7 linked regions of the Kluyveromyces lactis genome follow. Each later gene encodes a partner of the first gene's protein in a complex. Links are inferred from orthologs where the notes say so. Each region holds a gene or a part of one and is shown in the gene's direction. Other genes may lie near its edges. The genes, in order: MRPL9, MRPL16, MRPL19, MRPL23, MRPL7, MRPL33 and MRPL51.

Evidence for each region.
Region 2: MRPL9 (region 1) and MRPL16 share a complex: the UniProt entries of both Schizosaccharomyces pombe proteins name them as parts of the mitochondrial large ribosomal subunit. The link is inferred for Kluyveromyces lactis from reciprocal best matches to the Schizosaccharomyces pombe genes mrpl9 and mrpl16.
Region 3: MRPL9 (region 1) and MRPL19 share a complex: the UniProt entries of both Schizosaccharomyces pombe proteins name them as parts of the mitochondrial large ribosomal subunit. The link is inferred for Kluyveromyces lactis from reciprocal best matches to the Schizosaccharomyces pombe genes mrpl9 and mrpl19.
Region 4: MRPL9 (region 1) and MRPL23 share a complex: the UniProt entries of both Schizosaccharomyces pombe proteins name them as parts of the mitochondrial large ribosomal subunit. The link is inferred for Kluyveromyces lactis from reciprocal best matches to the Schizosaccharomyces pombe genes mrpl9 and mrpl23.
Region 5: MRPL9 (region 1) and MRPL7 share a complex: the UniProt entries of both Schizosaccharomyces pombe proteins name them as parts of the mitochondrial large ribosomal subunit. The link is inferred for Kluyveromyces lactis from reciprocal best matches to the Schizosaccharomyces pombe genes mrpl9 and mrpl7.
Region 6: MRPL9 (region 1) and MRPL33 share a complex: the UniProt entries of both Schizosaccharomyces pombe proteins name them as parts of the mitochondrial large ribosomal subunit. The link is inferred for Kluyveromyces lactis from reciprocal best matches to the Schizosaccharomyces pombe genes mrpl9 and mrpl33.
Region 7: MRPL9 (region 1) and MRPL51 share a complex: the UniProt entries of both Schizosaccharomyces pombe proteins name them as parts of the mitochondrial large ribosomal subunit. The link is inferred for Kluyveromyces lactis from reciprocal best matches to the Schizosaccharomyces pombe genes mrpl9 and mrpl51.

Annotation. Positions count from the first base shown.
Region 1 is NC_006041.1:1,426,263-1,428,861, forward strand, and holds MRPL9 (mitochondrial 54S ribosomal protein uL3m), read left to right. Parts: upstream 1-1,277; coding exon 1,278-2,099; downstream 2,100-2,599. Other genes in the region: MRPL6 (mitochondrial 54S ribosomal protein uL6m), read left to right, coding at 291-935; exportin CRM1, read right to left, coding at 2,469-2,599. UniProt on the Schizosaccharomyces pombe protein: Component of the mitochondrial ribosome (mitoribosome), a dedicated translation machinery responsible for the synthesis of mitochondrial genome-encoded proteins, including at least some of the essential transmembrane subunits of the mitochondrial respiratory chain.
Region 2 is NC_006038.1:1,064,530-1,067,156, forward strand, and holds MRPL16 (mitochondrial 54S ribosomal protein uL16m), read left to right. Parts: upstream 1-1,461; coding exon 1,462-2,127; downstream 2,128-2,627. Other genes in the region: MSF1 (phenylalanine--tRNA ligase), read right to left, coding at 1-1,092; RFC5 (replication factor C subunit 5), read right to left, coding at 2,279-2,627. UniProt on the Schizosaccharomyces pombe protein: Component of the mitochondrial ribosome (mitoribosome), a dedicated translation machinery responsible for the synthesis of mitochondrial genome-encoded proteins, including at least some of the essential transmembrane subunits of the mitochondrial respiratory chain.
Region 3 is NC_006040.1:716,101-718,219, forward strand, and holds MRPL19 (mitochondrial 54S ribosomal protein uL11m), read left to right. Parts: upstream 1-1,169; coding exon 1,170-1,619; downstream 1,620-2,119. Other genes in the region: serine/threonine protein kinase NPR1, read left to right, coding at 1-697; ubiquitin-specific protease UBP10, read right to left, coding at 1,946-2,119. UniProt on the Schizosaccharomyces pombe protein: Component of the mitochondrial ribosome (mitoribosome), a dedicated translation machinery responsible for the synthesis of mitochondrial genome-encoded proteins, including at least some of the essential transmembrane subunits of the mitochondrial respiratory chain.
Region 4 is NC_006040.1:210,738-212,858, forward strand, and holds MRPL23 (mitochondrial 54S ribosomal protein uL13m), read left to right. Parts: upstream 1-1,153; coding exon 1,154-1,621; downstream 1,622-2,121. Other genes in the region: protein disulfide isomerase MPD1, read left to right, coding at 1-878; CRN1 (coronin), read right to left, coding at 1,966-2,121. UniProt on the Schizosaccharomyces pombe protein: Component of the mitochondrial ribosome (mitoribosome), a dedicated translation machinery responsible for the synthesis of mitochondrial genome-encoded proteins, including at least some of the essential transmembrane subunits of the mitochondrial respiratory chain.
Region 5 is NC_006039.1:1,326,649-1,329,295, forward strand, and holds MRPL7 (mitochondrial 54S ribosomal protein uL5m), read left to right. Parts: upstream 1-1,277; coding exon 1,278-2,147; downstream 2,148-2,647. Other genes in the region: nucleoporin GLE1, read right to left, coding at 1-837; SEC26 (coatomer subunit beta), read right to left, coding at 2,364-2,647. UniProt on the Schizosaccharomyces pombe protein: Component of the mitochondrial ribosome (mitoribosome), a dedicated translation machinery responsible for the synthesis of mitochondrial genome-encoded proteins, including at least some of the essential transmembrane subunits of the mitochondrial respiratory chain.
Region 6 is NC_006039.1:553,385-555,412, forward strand, and holds MRPL33 (mitochondrial 54S ribosomal protein uL30m), read left to right. Parts: upstream 1-1,273; coding exon 1,274-1,528; downstream 1,529-2,028. Other genes in the region: NGL2 (RNA exonuclease), read right to left, coding at 1-659; KLLA0_C06292g (uncharacterized protein), read right to left, coding at 1,728-2,028. UniProt on the Schizosaccharomyces pombe protein: Component of the mitochondrial ribosome (mitoribosome), a dedicated translation machinery responsible for the synthesis of mitochondrial genome-encoded proteins, including at least some of the essential transmembrane subunits of the mitochondrial respiratory chain.
Region 7 is NC_006042.1:776,644-778,741, reverse strand, and holds MRPL51 (mitochondrial 54S ribosomal protein mL43), read left to right. Parts: upstream 1-1,169; coding exon 1,170-1,598; downstream 1,599-2,098. Other genes in the region: GCD2 (translation initiation factor eIF2B subunit delta), read right to left, coding at 1,809-2,098. UniProt on the Schizosaccharomyces pombe protein: Component of the mitochondrial ribosome (mitoribosome), a dedicated translation machinery responsible for the synthesis of mitochondrial genome-encoded proteins, including at least some of the essential transmembrane subunits of the mitochondrial respiratory chain.

The DNA of each region.
Region 1 (2,599 bases):
GACGAAGAGCAGTCTCCACATCCCATTTCGACCCAGGAGTGGCCTAGATGGTCACCAATCGAGAGTAACAGCCTAAGTATATCTTATTTAACAATCGTCAAAGCAATTAAAGTTACCCTCCCATACTATCTCACTATTAAAATTTTGATTCCAAGTGAAAAATTGGTTGAAAGACGCATAGAGATGAGTGCTGGAAGAACAGATTGATATAGACGCATTTGATCTAATATACCCAGTCATATAGCGGCTGCAAAGTGGGCTAGACTATTTCCAGGATATACACAATTACCATGACATTTGTTTCCAGAAGACTCTTTTCTGTGTCGGCTCTTCTGCGCTCACATATTGGTTCTTCTCCGGTGTATTTGACACCGGAGACCAAGTTGGTGGTGGAATCAATGAAACTGCCAAAGATCATCAGAAAGGGTAACAAATCTCTTAAGTTATCTCAGAACGTAACTGTATCGGGTCCTTTGGGGAAGATTGATATGGAAATCCCAGATTTCGTGGAGATAAAGCAGGATGGATCTTCGGGAAAAATCGAAGTTGCAGTGAAGGATTCTACCGACAAGACGCAAAGATCCATGTGGGGGACGGTAAGATCTCATATAAATAATCATATCACAGGCGTGAATGAGAGCCATATGGCTGTTCTGAAGTTCGTTGGTACCGGTTACAGAGCTCAATTGGAGGAAAATAACACCTTTGTCAACGTCAAAGTCGGTGCGTCGGTAAGACAAGGCCTACCTATCCCAGAGGGAATCATAGTTAAGTCTCCGGTACCCACGTCGTTGATCGTGGAAGGTGTCAACAAGCAACAAGTGCTACTCTTCGCTGCCAACTTGAGAAAATTCCATCCTCCAGAACCATATAAGGGTAAAGGTATCTACGTTAACAATGAAACTATCAAGATCAAGGATAAGAAGATCAAATGATGACGATAGAATGATGATTATAATTATTATAATATTAAATAACATGTAAATACAGAAGCATAAACATACACTTCCAATAACCGTCAAGGGCACACTTAATTTGTGTTAAATCAGTGAGAGAACTACGTGCCGTTTTAATCACGTGATCTATAGGTAACTTTATCGATTCAAAAAATTTTCAATATCGAAACAGCTTTAACAATTATACAGAGATGGAAACAGGTTTCAATAGAGTCTTTAAACTACATTTTAAATCCTTTACAGTTTCTCCAGCATTGCCAAGAGGTTATCTGGATTGACACATTTGTTATCAATCGACCAGTCTTTGAAAATTGGGGAATAATGGCATTTATTGGCAGTCCTTCGTCGAAGATTTGGACAAGACTTTTCTCACAAAGTGGAGTATCGAACGGTGCCAAGTTAGTCGCACCATCCGTGGCAAGCAGCATTCATCTAGATCCTGTAGATATTAAACATTCTCCAGAAAATGCGCTAAAGAGAAGAAGATTACCTCTACGTTGTGGTGCTTTGAGTAAAAAAGTAGGGATGATGCCGTATTTCGAGAAAGAGACTGGTAAACGTATAGCAGCTACTGTACTTCAGTTGGACAATAACGAAGTTATACTACACAGAACTCCAGCTGAAAACAATTACTGGGCTTGCCAAATTGGTTATGGTAACAAGTCGCCGGAGAATGTTACCAGACAAATGTTGGGACATTTCGCTGCACATGTTGTGAATCCAAAGGAAAAAGTTACCGAGTTTAGAGTCAAGGACGAATCTGGACTACTACCAGTGGGTTCTTTAATCAAACCTTCGTGGTTCAAGCCTGGCCAATACGTTGATTTAAGATCAATCAGCAAAGGTAAGGGTTTCCAAGGTGTAATGAAACGTTATGGATTCAAAGGTTTGAAGGCATCCCACGGTGTTTCCGTATCTCACAGATCTGGTGGTTCTTACGGTCAAAATCAAACACCTGGTCGTGTGTTGCCTGGGAAAAAGATGCCTGGTCATATGGGTGTCGACACTGTAACAATTCAAAACGTGCAAGTGCTGGACGTCAACGACGAAACAGGTACTGTCTTGGTGAAGGGCTCTGTCGCAGGTCCAAATGGTGCATTCGTTAAGATCCAAGATGCTATCAAAAAGCCAACCCCAGTATAAAAAACTGTGATTAAGAAATTGAATCTTTTCAGTCGTTTAGACACCGTCCCGAAATCATTTGGAAAGCATGCCTTTCTACGGTTATTATTAACAATCTATACCTGTATATACACCAATTATAAAATAGTAACTGCTGCAACGTTGAGTGTCCTTTTCAACCAGATATTTAATGGCTTTCATACGTTGATACTGGATCCTGGGTATATGTCGGAGAGAATTGATTACAATTTTTTTCTCTATGTGGGAAGATATACGGCCTGCTATGTATATATTTGCCTTGCTTGACAAGTGTTAGTTTCAGCTTTCATTGGATCCGCAGAAACTTTTTCGTTTCTTGACCATGCTGTACATTTCTGTAAGGTGTTATCTTTACTCATCATCATCCAATTCCGATGGTTTCAATAACCCACCGATCTTGGAAGCTCTTTCTCTTTCAAGTTTATGTTGTTCCGCGAGAGCTTGTTCTTTGTCCTCTGCGAACAAATAATCGGTTGGATCTC
Region 2 (2,627 bases), on another chromosome or scaffold:
CGGTTTGAATTTGTTGATTGTGCCCTCTTTGAATTGGGAATGGAACCTTTCGTCAAGGGTCCAGAATAATCTGATATCAGGGATCTCGAATAATAGCATTGCAATGCGGTCAAGGCCTAATCCAAAAGCCCAACCGATGTTTTGATTTTGTTCATATCCAGCTTTTAATAAAACGTCTTCACGGATAAGACCGCAACCGCAGAGCTCAAGCCAATTGTTTTGCCAGAACACTTCAATTTCCCATGATGGTGCAGTCCATGGGAAATAAGCTTGAATCCATCTAACCTTCAACTCTTCTCCCTTCACGTTACCCATACTTGCCAACTTTCTCTTGAAGACTTCCAATACAACAAGCTCCAAAGATCTTTTCAAATGGCGAGAACATAAATCGACTTCTTCCATCGTCATGTATTCCTGCTTTGGATTACCTTCCAAGGAAACGTTATCTTCCACGACAAGTTTCACTGGGTCGTCTGCCAAAGTTTTCTCCAATCTCTCGAGATCTTCTTTAATCTTTAATAAATGTTGGTTATCCGGTTCCCTTTTCCAAACTCTACCACCTTCCATTTGATGGAACACCGGATAATGAGTCCTGTCAATCTCATCTCTTCTATAGACATCGGCAGAGATTAAAAATCCAGGCTTATCAGTCTTACCCACATGGCCAGGAACAAACCCATTGATATTCTTGAAACATTCCAACTCATGGGCAGATGTATGCGTTCTTAACAGATGACAATCGTTCAAGTAATAGGTATCAGATTTCGATCTACCGGGGTGATCTTCTGGGAATCCCAAAGAATCAAAATTCTCATGTACCGTAACCGCAGGTTTGAAATCGTTATAGATCTCGAATGAGTGATGAGGGTCGTTCAGCTTGTCCTCGATAACACTTCTTAAGATCCCAACAGGGTGTGATGGTTTCAAATAAACAGCGCGATCAGTCAAATTCAAAATCGAACTAGTTACATTCGTCTTATCTGATACTGGGTACGTCTTTCCATTCACAGAAAGTGTCTGTAATGCCACATTGGAGGTGCTAAACAACCTTAAACATGGTCTCAAAGTTGACAATATCGTCCTATTCGACATCGTTTCGGTATTAAAGAACCCTTAATAACAGTAAAACTGGGGCAATTCAATCAACAAAACAAAGGTAATCCCTTAGCAATGATATTACTAGTGATATTTCACTGCCTGAAATCACCAGAACAGGTATATCAAGTGTTGTTTAACGAGACTTTTGTATCTTCTTTTGAATGTATGTAGAAGGTCACATGATTTCAAGATATCTTCAACTTCACCAAAAATTTTTCAATAATGAAAAGCTTTAAGAGTAAGTAAAAGAAGATCCAGAGCATAGAAATTGATTTGAAAAGCAGCATAAAACAGTCCCTCGCGCCTCATTGCAAGGATCTTATTTCAGATCAGTGAGCCTCCTTTATCGTAAATTAGATCACCATGTTTTCCAGCGTTTTCAAGACTGGATTTCGCTCACTAAATCCATTAGAAAGTCTGCAAGTAACCGCTAGGCGTTTTACACATGAATATGCTCCACGTTTCAAGAACCAGACTAAGAAGCAAAAGGGTCGTGTGCCAGTGCGTACCGGTGGCTCTACTAAGGGTAATTCGCTTCAATTTGGTCAATTTGGTTTAAGATTGAAGTCTGAAGGTGTGAGACTTACTGCGTTACAGTTGAAGGAAGCCGATAATGCTATTATGAGATACGTTAGACCTTTGAATAACGGTCAATTATGGCGTCGTTTGTGTACAAACATTGCTGTTTGTATCAAGGGTAATGAGACCAGAATGGGTAAAGGTAAGGGTGGATTTGACCATTGGATGGTCAGAGTACCCACCGGTAAAGTGATCTTTGAGATGGCAGGTGACAATCTACACGAGAAAGTAGCACGTGAGGCGTTTAGAAAGGCAGCAACCAAGCTTCCTGGCCTATACGAATTCATATCGAAAGATTCTCTGGTAAGAGTAGGTATCAAGAGTGTAAAAGATCCAAAGGACGATCCAAAGATCAATTACTTTGAAGAACTAAAGAAGAAACCTACAAAGGAATATATTACAAAGTTGAAGTCCCAGCAACCGGAATATAGAATGTTCAGGGCTCGTTGAAATAGATCGATGTGTGTATATAAACGACTCTTTTACGTATAACTTTTGTGAGAGCTAATCCCACTATCTGTAAATAGGCTATCAAAGATTCAAGATTTAAAGTCCCAAATGAGTAAAGTTTGGTTGTTTGTCAAACTACAAAAGTTAATACTTACGTATATTTATCTATTTCACACATTGTCCTTGCAATGAACCCTTCTAAATGGTAGATTGCTTTGTTTCCAAGGTTGAGACGGTGATCAAAAGTGCATGCAGTATCGATAATTGCCAACTTCAACGGATCTGACTGGGCATCTGAAAGCAATTGCGTCGTTAATTCATGGACTATGGTTTTGGCAGGAATACAATGGGCTAATAGATCATAATTTATGGAACGGCATTCTACAAGGTTATTAACAGTTCTTTCTTTTAATATTTTCCTAGCCATTTTATGGATCACCAATTGCCAATCAGGTCTGTTCAAAGGTGTATCGTTTCTTAAATGCAATTCATTTTGTAGT
Region 3 (2,119 bases), on another chromosome or scaffold:
GCATCGTGATATGAAGTTGGACAACTGTGTAATAAACAACCAGGGTATAGTGAAGTTGATTGACTTCGGTGCTGCAGAAGTCTTCTCCTACCCCCACTCAAAAACTTTAATCGAGTCAAGTGGCATTGTTGGAAGTGATCCATATTTGGCTCCCGAAGTTTGTATATTTACCAAGTATGACCCAAGACCTGTTGATATATGGTCCGTTGCCATTTTGTTTGCATGTATGGTATTAAAGAAATTCCCATGGAAGATACCTAAGTTAAAGGATAATTCCTTCAAATTCTTCTGTTCGGGAAGAGACTGCGATTCCTTGAGTGCTTTAGTCACAAAAACACCTAAACCGCCAAGTTATGACAATGCCGTCCAATCTGATGAGCCAGCTGAGAGCACATCTAAATCGAACAACCCATCTGATCCAAACAACACGAATATTGGTCCTCAAAGACTACTTCATTCCTTACCGGAAGAGACCCACCACATTATCGGTAGGATGGTAGACTTGGCTCCTGCTTGTAGAGCCAATATTGAAGAAGTATTAAATGACCCTTGGATTCAATCCATTGACATGTGCACCGTTGAAGTAGACAACCAAGGTAACTACGTCGTGCACCCTGGAATGGACCACAAACATACCCAAGTTGATCAAAGCGAAGCCCACATTGCTGGTCTTGAAAAGAAAAAAAAGGCAAAATAAATTAAGAGAGAGAGTAAAACTAGCAATCCGGCTGAGGTATGTTCTACAGCATGTTTTATCAAATAAGAGTAACTCTTCTGAGACGACATAGACTTCTAATTGTTGTGCAATCGTTATAAATTATCTCTCCTGTAAAAGTACACAAATGTATAAAATATTTAAGAACAATTCTTGGCATTCTCATAAAATTAATGCTTTATAACGTTAGCAACCTTTGGCATGAAGTCGGTACACATCGCAGCATATGGTTCTATTTAGCAGACAATGAATTGTGCTTATTAGAAAGTGTATAATGGAAAACAATGTGCGGGTAATAACTTCAAAATTTTCTTTGGCCTAAAAAATTCTTGGAGATATGCCAGATTATAAGCTGGTAAAAATCGATGGCTTAAAGTAAGATGTGCATTCAATCCGATCAATTGCCTCGAACAAAATATCGAAACAGTAAGTCCAGGAAGCGCCAAACAGGACCATGTCGAAGGTTCTTAAGAACGTGATAGTCAAACTTATTGTCGGAGCAGGTCAAGCTGCGCCTTCTCCTCCAGTTGGTCCAGCTTTAGGGTCTAAAGGTATTAAAGCTATTGATTTCTGTAAAGAGTTCAATGCCAGAACAGCAAACTTCCAACCGGGTACTCCGATTCCAGTACTCATCAATATCAAACCAGATAGAACATTTTCGTTTGAAATGAAAAGCCCTCCTACTGGATATCTTTTATTGAAGGCATTAAGTCTTGAGAAGGGACACGGACAACCAAATATCAGTAACCCTGATAATGTATGTGGTGAACTGTCGTTAAAACATATATATGAGATCGCCAAGATCAAGAAGACCGATGGAAGACACGCTGCTCTGGAACTTGAAGGAATCGTAAAGTCTATTATCGGTGTTGCTAAGAGTATGGGTATTAAGGTAGTTCCATAAACTGACTTTTTTTTCACTAATCAAAGCATCGATTTGTGAAATAGTGAAGGTCTCGATGGAGAGTTTCATTCCAACTGGTTTATTAGCATTTGTAGACCTCATTTCGTGTACATAAAATAGAATAATGAAAAGATAAAATTATAATAATATATCAACTACTATAGATGAAGATGTATATGATGATCCAAATGAACTGAAACCGAAGTGAAAAAAGATGAACTGAAGTCAGTGTGAGGTAGATGCATGTATGACTGTTTACAAAGAAAGAATGAACAAGGATGCAAGTGTATTGTAAGCCGGTAGTTTAAGGAAAGGGTTATTCAAACTTATGGGGAAATCCTTCTCTTCTTGTTTTTTTTCTTATTCTTACGTTTAGAGTTGTTCTGCGATGATGAGTGTGAAGATGGAGGTCTTTGCAATTGCGGAATACCTAGATCAGTAGATTTATTGGAAGATTGAGAGGAAAGTGGGACCGATTTTGGTGTAAGTCTAGTGTACAC
Region 4 (2,121 bases), on another chromosome or scaffold:
TCGATAAAGTCATTCATAGGACCAATTACACCACTTTGGTCATGTTTTATGCTCCGTGGTGTGGTTACTGTCAGGAATTGAAAGGTTCCATGAAATCTGCCGGTAAAATCCTCTCTGGAATGGTACAAGTTGCTGGAGTGAACTGTGATGAAAGTGTGAATAAACAATTATGTGCACAGAACAGAGTATCGGGGTTCCCAACGTTAATGGTATTCAGGCCTCCAAAGATCAATTTGGATAACCCAAAGAAAAATTCCAATGGTGCTGCGTCACAGCATGCCACAGAAGTGTACAAGGGAGAAAGGAAATTGAAGCCCATTGTCGATTTCGCTTTATCTAGAGTGAAAAACTACGTGAAGCGGTTGAACCGTTACAGTAAGTTCGAAGAACTATTAAAATCTTCAAGAACCAGGTACGCTGTAGTGCTTATCTCAAAGAAGGAGAAGATTCCAACTTTATATAAATCTGTAGCCCTCGATTGGCTTGGGATCTACGATTTCTATTCGATCTGGGACGAGAAATTGCAAGGCGTGTCACAATTGAGTTTTGAGAACGATACAAAGAATTGGCCAAATACTGTTAAATACCTCCAATCGTTAGAAAAAAGTGAAACTGAATTACAATCGCCCAGAATCGTAGTGATAGATAGAGAAACAGATACTTATGACGAACTAGACATATTAAAAACTACAGATAAAAATGACATTGCAACGTTCCTTTCGAAATTCGAGTCAAAACCAAGGGAAGGTCCACTCAGTAAGAGACAAGAATACCTCAAATCTATTTTGAATAAATCAAAGTCAAAGAAGTCCAAGACTAAAAAGAACAAACAGAAGACTAAACTTACGAAGGACGACATAGTTCAGGATGAGTTGTAGGTATTTGTTAGTAGCTTGTATATAGATTGTGTTTAACATCCGGGTAACAGTAATATGAGCGATTGAAAAAAATTTGGCTCCAAGCTGAAATTAAACATCAATTAATCAAATCGATTGTCAAGCTAAACATATGATGAGTTAAAAGACAACTGACTGTCCCGAACTATCCCTTTACCTAAGTGATTACAGTTGAATAGCATCACTTAAAATTTAACTTTTTAGGTGCCACGTTTTAACCTGTCAGAAAGGAGGCAAAATAACAATATATTAGAAGTATGTCTCAAAAGGTAGGACATACTGGTTTGGCATTTGCCAGGATGTGGCATCATGTTGATATATCCAAGGACAAGAGAACGCTTGGTAGGGTGGCATCTCAGGTTGCTCTAGCGTTAATGGGGAAGCACAAGCCAGTGTATCATCCATCTGCTGATTGCGGTGATTATGTTGTGGTAACGAACTGCCAAGCTTTGCGTGTGACGGGGAACAAGATGACCCAAAAGACGTACTGGTCGCATACTTCTAGACCAGGTTCATTAAAGTTGACTACAATGGAAGACATGATCAGTAACAAGGGTTACAGTGAAGTTTTGAAGAAGGCTGTGTCCGGAATGCTTCCCAAGAATAAACTTCGTAAGATCAGACTTGCTAGATTAAAAATTTTCGATGGAAGTGAACATCCATACAAGAGTAATATCACCGCATTTGCTGATCAGCAACTAGAGCTGCAACACCAGAAGAAATAGTGTGGATGAATTTTTATGTGACTTCTTAATTTTTGAGAAGTTAACGGCAGCATGTGATGTAAAATCCCTGTATATATTATTATTCGATCTAAATGGTTCTCCTTAGTACGCATACAATGTCTGTCGTTTTTCACTGTACTAAACTCTTCCACTTTACTATGTACATATAGATTGTTATTTAGATATGTTAATTATCACATACAAATCACATACAAATCACATACAGAGATAGAAAAGATATTACATCGCAGTATGCCAAAGCATAATACTTTTGCCTGGAAGAAAGAACATTTAACAGAACAAAAACGAGAAGAATTAGGGAAGGATGTATTTCATATTTGATATTATTTCCCTTGCTCCAAAAGACGATCTACTTTTGCTTCCAAAGCAGCAAGAATTTCATCTTTGCGGGTATTTTCCTCGGTTAATTTATCAATATAGCTTTCCAACTTTAGAACTAATCCAGATAATGTTTCTACAGATTGTCTCAAATTGAGAGA
Region 5 (2,647 bases), on another chromosome or scaffold:
CGCCTTCACCGGTTCAATTATTTCTGTTTTAATTGTCTGAATCATGGTTTTGTATTTAGTAAAAGTTTCTTCGATTAACTTGAAATTTGTAGATTCTTTGGACTGTTTAAGTTTATTCCTCTCCAGTTGTTCTTGTTCTTGCTTCTTTTTCAGGGCTTCTACTCTCTTCGCTTCTTCAGCTTTCTTCTCCTTTTCTGCCATTTCTTGAATCTTCCGTTTCTCTTCCTCCTTCAACTTCTTTTCCATCTCCTTTTTATGCTTCAATTCTTCTTGTCTGCGCTTCTCCGCTTCGCATTCTTTCTGGATACGTGCTTCCTCTTCCCTCTTCTTTTTATCCTTTATGCTTTTAATTAAACGTTGATTCACCTTTTCAATTGAATCAATTTCCTCATTCCACACAGATTCAAGCACCTGGTCTTGCATAGGAAAGGTGTGTTGTTCCACCTCGTCAATCAAATCCTTCTTCTCTTGGTAATAAAGTTCTGCTTCGTCAATAAGAACAGGGCCTAAAGCTTTATTCTCGTGACCTCTCGTTGTAAGATGCGGTAGTGCATTCCTTTCAAGAGTGATATTTAAGTTGGAAAGCATTGAAACTATTTCTGGTTCTACCACATCCTCTAAAGAAATTGTATCTCCTGAACTAAACCCTTGCTCTTCACCTTGGCCGTCATTCTTTGAAGAATGGTATAATTTCGGTAGTTTTAACTGGATCCCATCAGATGGATCGCCAATATACGTAAACTCCCCGTCTAATTCATAGTCAGAATCACTGCTGCTGGTATTCTGACTCTGTTTCCGTTCAGCATTCTCGTACAATTCGTCAAATGAGAACCTCATCTCAATTGTCCTGATATGTGTCAATCGCTTTCTTTACTTTATCAAATCGGTAAAAAGCTCAATTCAAGTAAACGATTCGGGGTTAAGTTCGACTGTTATTACCTAAATGGAGAATCCAGCTACGTGTCTTTAAGTACGGGATCAAAAAAAAACGGCTGCAATGCATCAACACAAGGGCTGAAAGGTCAACACTCTCTATAATCATCAACTGAGCTCTACCTGGTTTTTAATCAAATTTCACTTTTTGTTGATTCTTGTCACGTGACGTATATTGAATTCTCTGTACTTGAAAGTTTTAAAAATTTTTCGACCTTTCGAGCTAAAGCTGTAAGATAATGATAGAGATTTGATCAGTTTCACTCGATTTAAAGCAGTATTCCTTCCCATTCGTAGGTTTATACATTCATTCGTTCGCATCTGTGAGAAGATACCAAGTGATAATGCAAGTGGTACGTGGTTTCCACAGTAGTTCAAAGGTCTCCAAAGCTGCTTGTGCTTTGGTTAAGCCAGTGCATCATTTGGTTAAGATCGACAAGAGCAAGCTATCCCCAAGGTTTCCTGAATTGAAATATAGTAAAAACGATATTAGATCTCCAGCATTCAAGCCTGTTGTTACACATCAAGACCGTGTTCGTGAGCATTATTATAATACTTTACAAAGCGATTTATTATTGATAAATTATTCCCACAAAAGCCAAACGAAGCTCGGGTTGAAGCAAAGAGAATGGGACGGTTCTTCTCCATATCACATTAACAGAGAACCCAGAAAACCTAAGGGCTCAAGTGCTCAATTGCCAGATATTCATCCAGTAACGTGGAAGAACATTCCAGACATCGAGTCCGTTGTTATTAACTGTTACGTCAGAGATGCAAAAGAGAACCAATATCTACCAATTTCAGCAGCATTACAATTGCAACAAATTACCGGGTGTAAACCAAAGGCTTTGTTCTCTAGGAATGATGTTCCGGCCTGGAAGGTCAGAAGAGGTACCCAAATGGGTGCTGTCATTACATTGAAAGGTCGTCCAATGTCTCAGTTCTTATCCACTTTGACTGAAATTGTACTACCAAGAATCAGAGAATACAAAGGTATCTCCAACAAGTCAGGTAACAGATTTGGTGGGTTATCATTTGGTATGACCAGCGATGAAGTCAGATTTTTCCCAGAGATTGATGCTAATCAAGATCTTTGGCCAGTAACTTTTGGTATGCACATCAACATCAACACAACTGCCCAAACTGACGTACAGGCTAGAACTTTGGTCAGTGGATTCGGTTTTCCTTTCAACGGTTCGGAAAAGATCAATTAATGCTCCCAAGTAGTTTTTATCCTGTCTTTCGTCCTGTAAATAACACTCACTAATAGGATAAAAAAATTATCAGCATTATATGTATATGACTACCTTTATACAAATGTCGACGTCTCTTAATGTACACTTATATGTAATAGATTTCAATAAGTAAAAAGTGGCATATATATTGCATTACAGGTAATTGGTGAGATCAAAGTCTTCAAATTATTAACCTCAAACACGATCAACACTAACGATATTCATAGTTCTTCCCATTCTGGTAATATTGTCACCATTGGTTAAAGCTAACCCTTGGGTCTTTGAACGAATACGGATTTCACCAACAATTTCTTGTGTGATTGGATCCTTCTCTATGCACAGGTTAGCCAAAGCGTCCTCGCCAAATGTAGATCTAGAATATAAGTTACAACTTAGGAATCTGGAATCATTGTCGCCGAGTGCCTCTTCAGGGGTTAGAACCTTCATATGTGTAACTTCCACCAACTTCTCTAAATAAC
Region 6 (2,028 bases), on another chromosome or scaffold:
TCGTAGTCAATTAACATCTTATCTGTCATATCAAATAGATCTTCTTTCCAAGCAATTAATACTCCGTGGTTTTTGGTAGGATTAAAATGGAATTGACACATGTAACCTAGTTTTGTGAACTCCATTTTCCAGAAAGACTTGTATTGAACCGTGTCAATTTCTTGCAAACACAGTACGTCAACATTGTAATATTTGAATTCATTGAGTAAAACTTGAGATCTTTTAAACCATTTAACAGCATTTCCGCTCGTAGGAAACAGTGTTCTTCTAATCAAAGCTTGGGCAAGACAATTATACGTCATTATACTGATTGGACATACCTCTCTCGTCGATTGGCCTGATGAATCTCGAGGAACAGCTAACATCGGCCTTTTGATAAATCTAAGGTCTGCGGGCAATTTTGGATCTATACCTTGAGCAATAAGAGCCTCTTTTTTTGCTATTTTCGCAGCTTCTCTCTTAGCTCGCATCTCAGCGATATACTCTGGAGTGATCTCATTCAAGGCCTTGCCTTTTTTCTTACTTTTCTTGTCCTTTACTTTATTCTTACCTTCTACCTTCAACTGGTCCATCCCATCAGTAATCGATAGCTTTTTTGCTTGTTCCACAAGCTCTTTTGGAACGTCTTTGACGCCGGTGTCTTGCGTACTACCAGCCATATTGGCTCAAATTATTACTTCTACTTTGCAGTGTATAGTGGCGATATAAACCTTAGAGAGATCTAACCAACCATGGCGTTAAGAGCTTGTTAATATGATATATATATATATTATTCAATCGGGCATAAATATTGGAAAAAAAGAAATGACATATATATATATATATATATACATAACCAAGCAAATGCCCCTCCTAAGACAATTTCAATGCAACTTCATATTCAGGAAGAAATATTCAAACAGCGAGATATAATCTTGAGATCTTTATATGCAATTCCTGGTTCTTTCTCAGTAGGTAGCACTTTCCTGCGACGGTTTGTGAGAAGTGCCCAAATGACATACGCGATGAGCTGCTAGACAATATACATCACATGATATCACTTTATACGTTTTGATGCTATTTGAAAAATCAATGTACGTTGGCTATTAATGGTTTGAATACCCAGTTAATCTCTTCGATAATGATGCACAAGATCTCTTAAAAGAGCGTTTTTTTTTGACATAGTTCTCTATATTGTCAACGAAACTTACGACCGAGGAAATTATACTTCATTACTGGTATTAGCGAACGGTTTCTAAAAGCATAGCTATCATAATAATTTTCAAAGATAGCCATGGTTTTCTACAGAATTACATTACAGAGGTCAGTCATTGGTACTCCACAGAAGACTAGGGCAGTGGTCAAGAGTTTAGGACTCGGAAAAAGAGGATCTGTCGCATATCAACCAGCTACACCATCTATTGCAGGTGCTGTCGCTCAGATAAAGGAGCTTGTGAGCGTTGAGCTTGCCGATAAAGCTTTAAGTAAGGCAGAACAGCGTGAGCTAAGAAAATCAAATCCTGGATTTACTGTCGAAAAGAGAGTATAGAAAGGATCATACCAGACAATATAACAAACAAAGCAATGTACCAGAAACATTTAACAGAGAAGAAACTGGGCTCACAATGAACATCTTCTGTTTTACATAAAGAAAAGGATATTAGGATTTTCATGTATATAGAGATCAAAGAAATATTAATCTTATTCTAATGAGGTATTTGAGAGTATCATATACCAAACGTCTTTATTTAGAAGACACCGGTGACTTCTCTGGTGAGAATATTCCTAGGCTGTTTCACGTATTCGTCGTCACCATCTTCACCATATTCATCATCGTCAAATGCCACCGAGAACGAATCTACAATTCTGAAGATATCATTTTTATTCATAGCTTTTCCATCAAAACTTAGTTCTATACTGTCATTTGCCGAAAAGAATTGATTTTCTTGAGCCAGCAATTGATCAACTCTATTGTACAAATGTTTTGTTTTAGGTCTTTGTGGTAACCTTTGAACACTCATATTCTGGGAGATATATTTGCTCAAAACA
Region 7 (2,098 bases), on another chromosome or scaffold:
TTAATTAATCTGAAGGAAAACTATGTATATTAAGAATTCTTCAATGACATGAAATAAAGGTGCAAGTAAAAGGTATGAAAATGGTAGTAAAAAAGTGCCATTTGCTGCCCTTCTTATATAATACAAATGTTACTTTGGACACGCTAATAAACTCTTAACACCTTATAAGTATTTACCGTTGATGAATTACCAAGTTCCAGTTAATTAGTATGGTATTCTTCTGCTTTTTTCCCTAAATTTTTTTGTCGCATTTTATACTGCATCGTTGAAACGCTTCAGTGAACGCCGTAATAAATTAAAGAAACGGATACAAACCTTGACTGTTCGCTACTTACAAGTGAATGTTTTTTAGGGGTGGTCATCGTTATACGCATCCTTAAAAAAACGCATAGAACTTTAATTTTTCAATAGTTATAGGGACATTATACGCACCATAATGATAAACTGGTGACTATTATGGCAATACATTTGCCTGTTCTTGAACAAAGTGTCATACACTTACATCACACTTAATAGGGAGTGCCCAGTTAATTGGTTTAAATGACGCATGTGCATAATTTTTTTAACAAATTACTAGTGTGCATCCAACATACGCTAGGTGTCAATCCGTACATTCCATGGGTGAACGCAAATCAGGCCCTTTATTTAATTAACCTCATATGAAGCCTTTGGGACATCTTGGATCAGAATCTGGGGCCTCTATCGTACTTTCTATGGATTTGCTCAGTAAAAGTACCCTTAACCAAACGCTGGTAGTGCATTATTGTCATAACCCATCGACAGATCATCAAGTTTACATGACGTATGACATCTCATGAGGATGTGTTGACATAGCAATGTGAAAGAAACAGAATATAGTCGGAAAGAGGTTCTGTATTATTTACATTCGTCACCTTATAGCAGTGTTGGTACCAGTATCTTTTTCATTTGTGTGAGCATGTGGTGAATTGTCCTCCTACCTTCGAATACATACAGATTTGTTCACGTGACTGATGGTCTTTTGAAATTGGAAAAAAATAATCATGAACTGAAAACTCGAATAAAACTCAAAAGATATATTAGTGAATCTATGTTCTGCATCTGAAGGATCTCTCCACAGTTTCAAAATACACCCAACTTGTTTTCTAATCAGAGCTGGTACCCGCGGTCATAAAGATTTCTCTGAAGTAATGGTTGTTAAAGTTTTGAGACAAACTTCTATCGCAAGAAATGGTGTTGGCGCTTTTGTGCTTCCATGTAAAAAGATCACTTTGCAATACTGTAATTGGGGTGGTTCCTCACAGGGTTTGAGAGATTTCCTAACGTCTAACAGAATGATTCAATGGGCTGAAAAATATCCAACAATACAGTTCGAAATAGTAAGAAAGTCTGGCCATCCAGTTATAAAAGGTGACTATGTTAATGGCCGTAATAAAGCCATCTGCGTAAAAAATCTGAACATTGATAATGTAGAGAATAAGTTAAAACTAATCAGAGACGCATCTGGTGAGCAACTCCGTCACAGAACTAAGAACGACAATGTGGATACTTTGAACGATAGTGTGAGAGGTATCTGGTCTCCACTACATTTAAGCCCAGCCATCAGACACAAGGTTTGAATCGAAAAAATGACTTGTGAATGGTAATATCGAGATCATAGCTTAACTTGTACATATATATAGCAATATCCTCGATGAAGCCGATACCTAAGTAAACAACCTACGATGTTGAATATTACTACGCAATTAATAAAAAAGAAGATCTATACTAATTTTTCATTTACTATATTATATGATATTATCGTATATTATATATGCAAAGGGCTCCATTCAAGCTGATGCTTTGTATTCTCTAAGAACCACGGGAACAGAAGATGGTGGCAACGAACCAAATTCTGTAATGATCTTCTTGATGTAGTCAGGGGGTGTTAAATCGTACATTATATTGAAGATGTGCAAATTAGGTGATTTCTCCCACTCTGCTAGTATTGGTTTATCCTTGACATTCTTACCTTCGTCGGCAGTAGCATTATTGGTATTAGCACTGCCAGATTTATTATTTTGCTTAGAGCTATTCTCGACTTCCTTCTGCTGCGCTTCACGCTCTTTGATAAATTGCT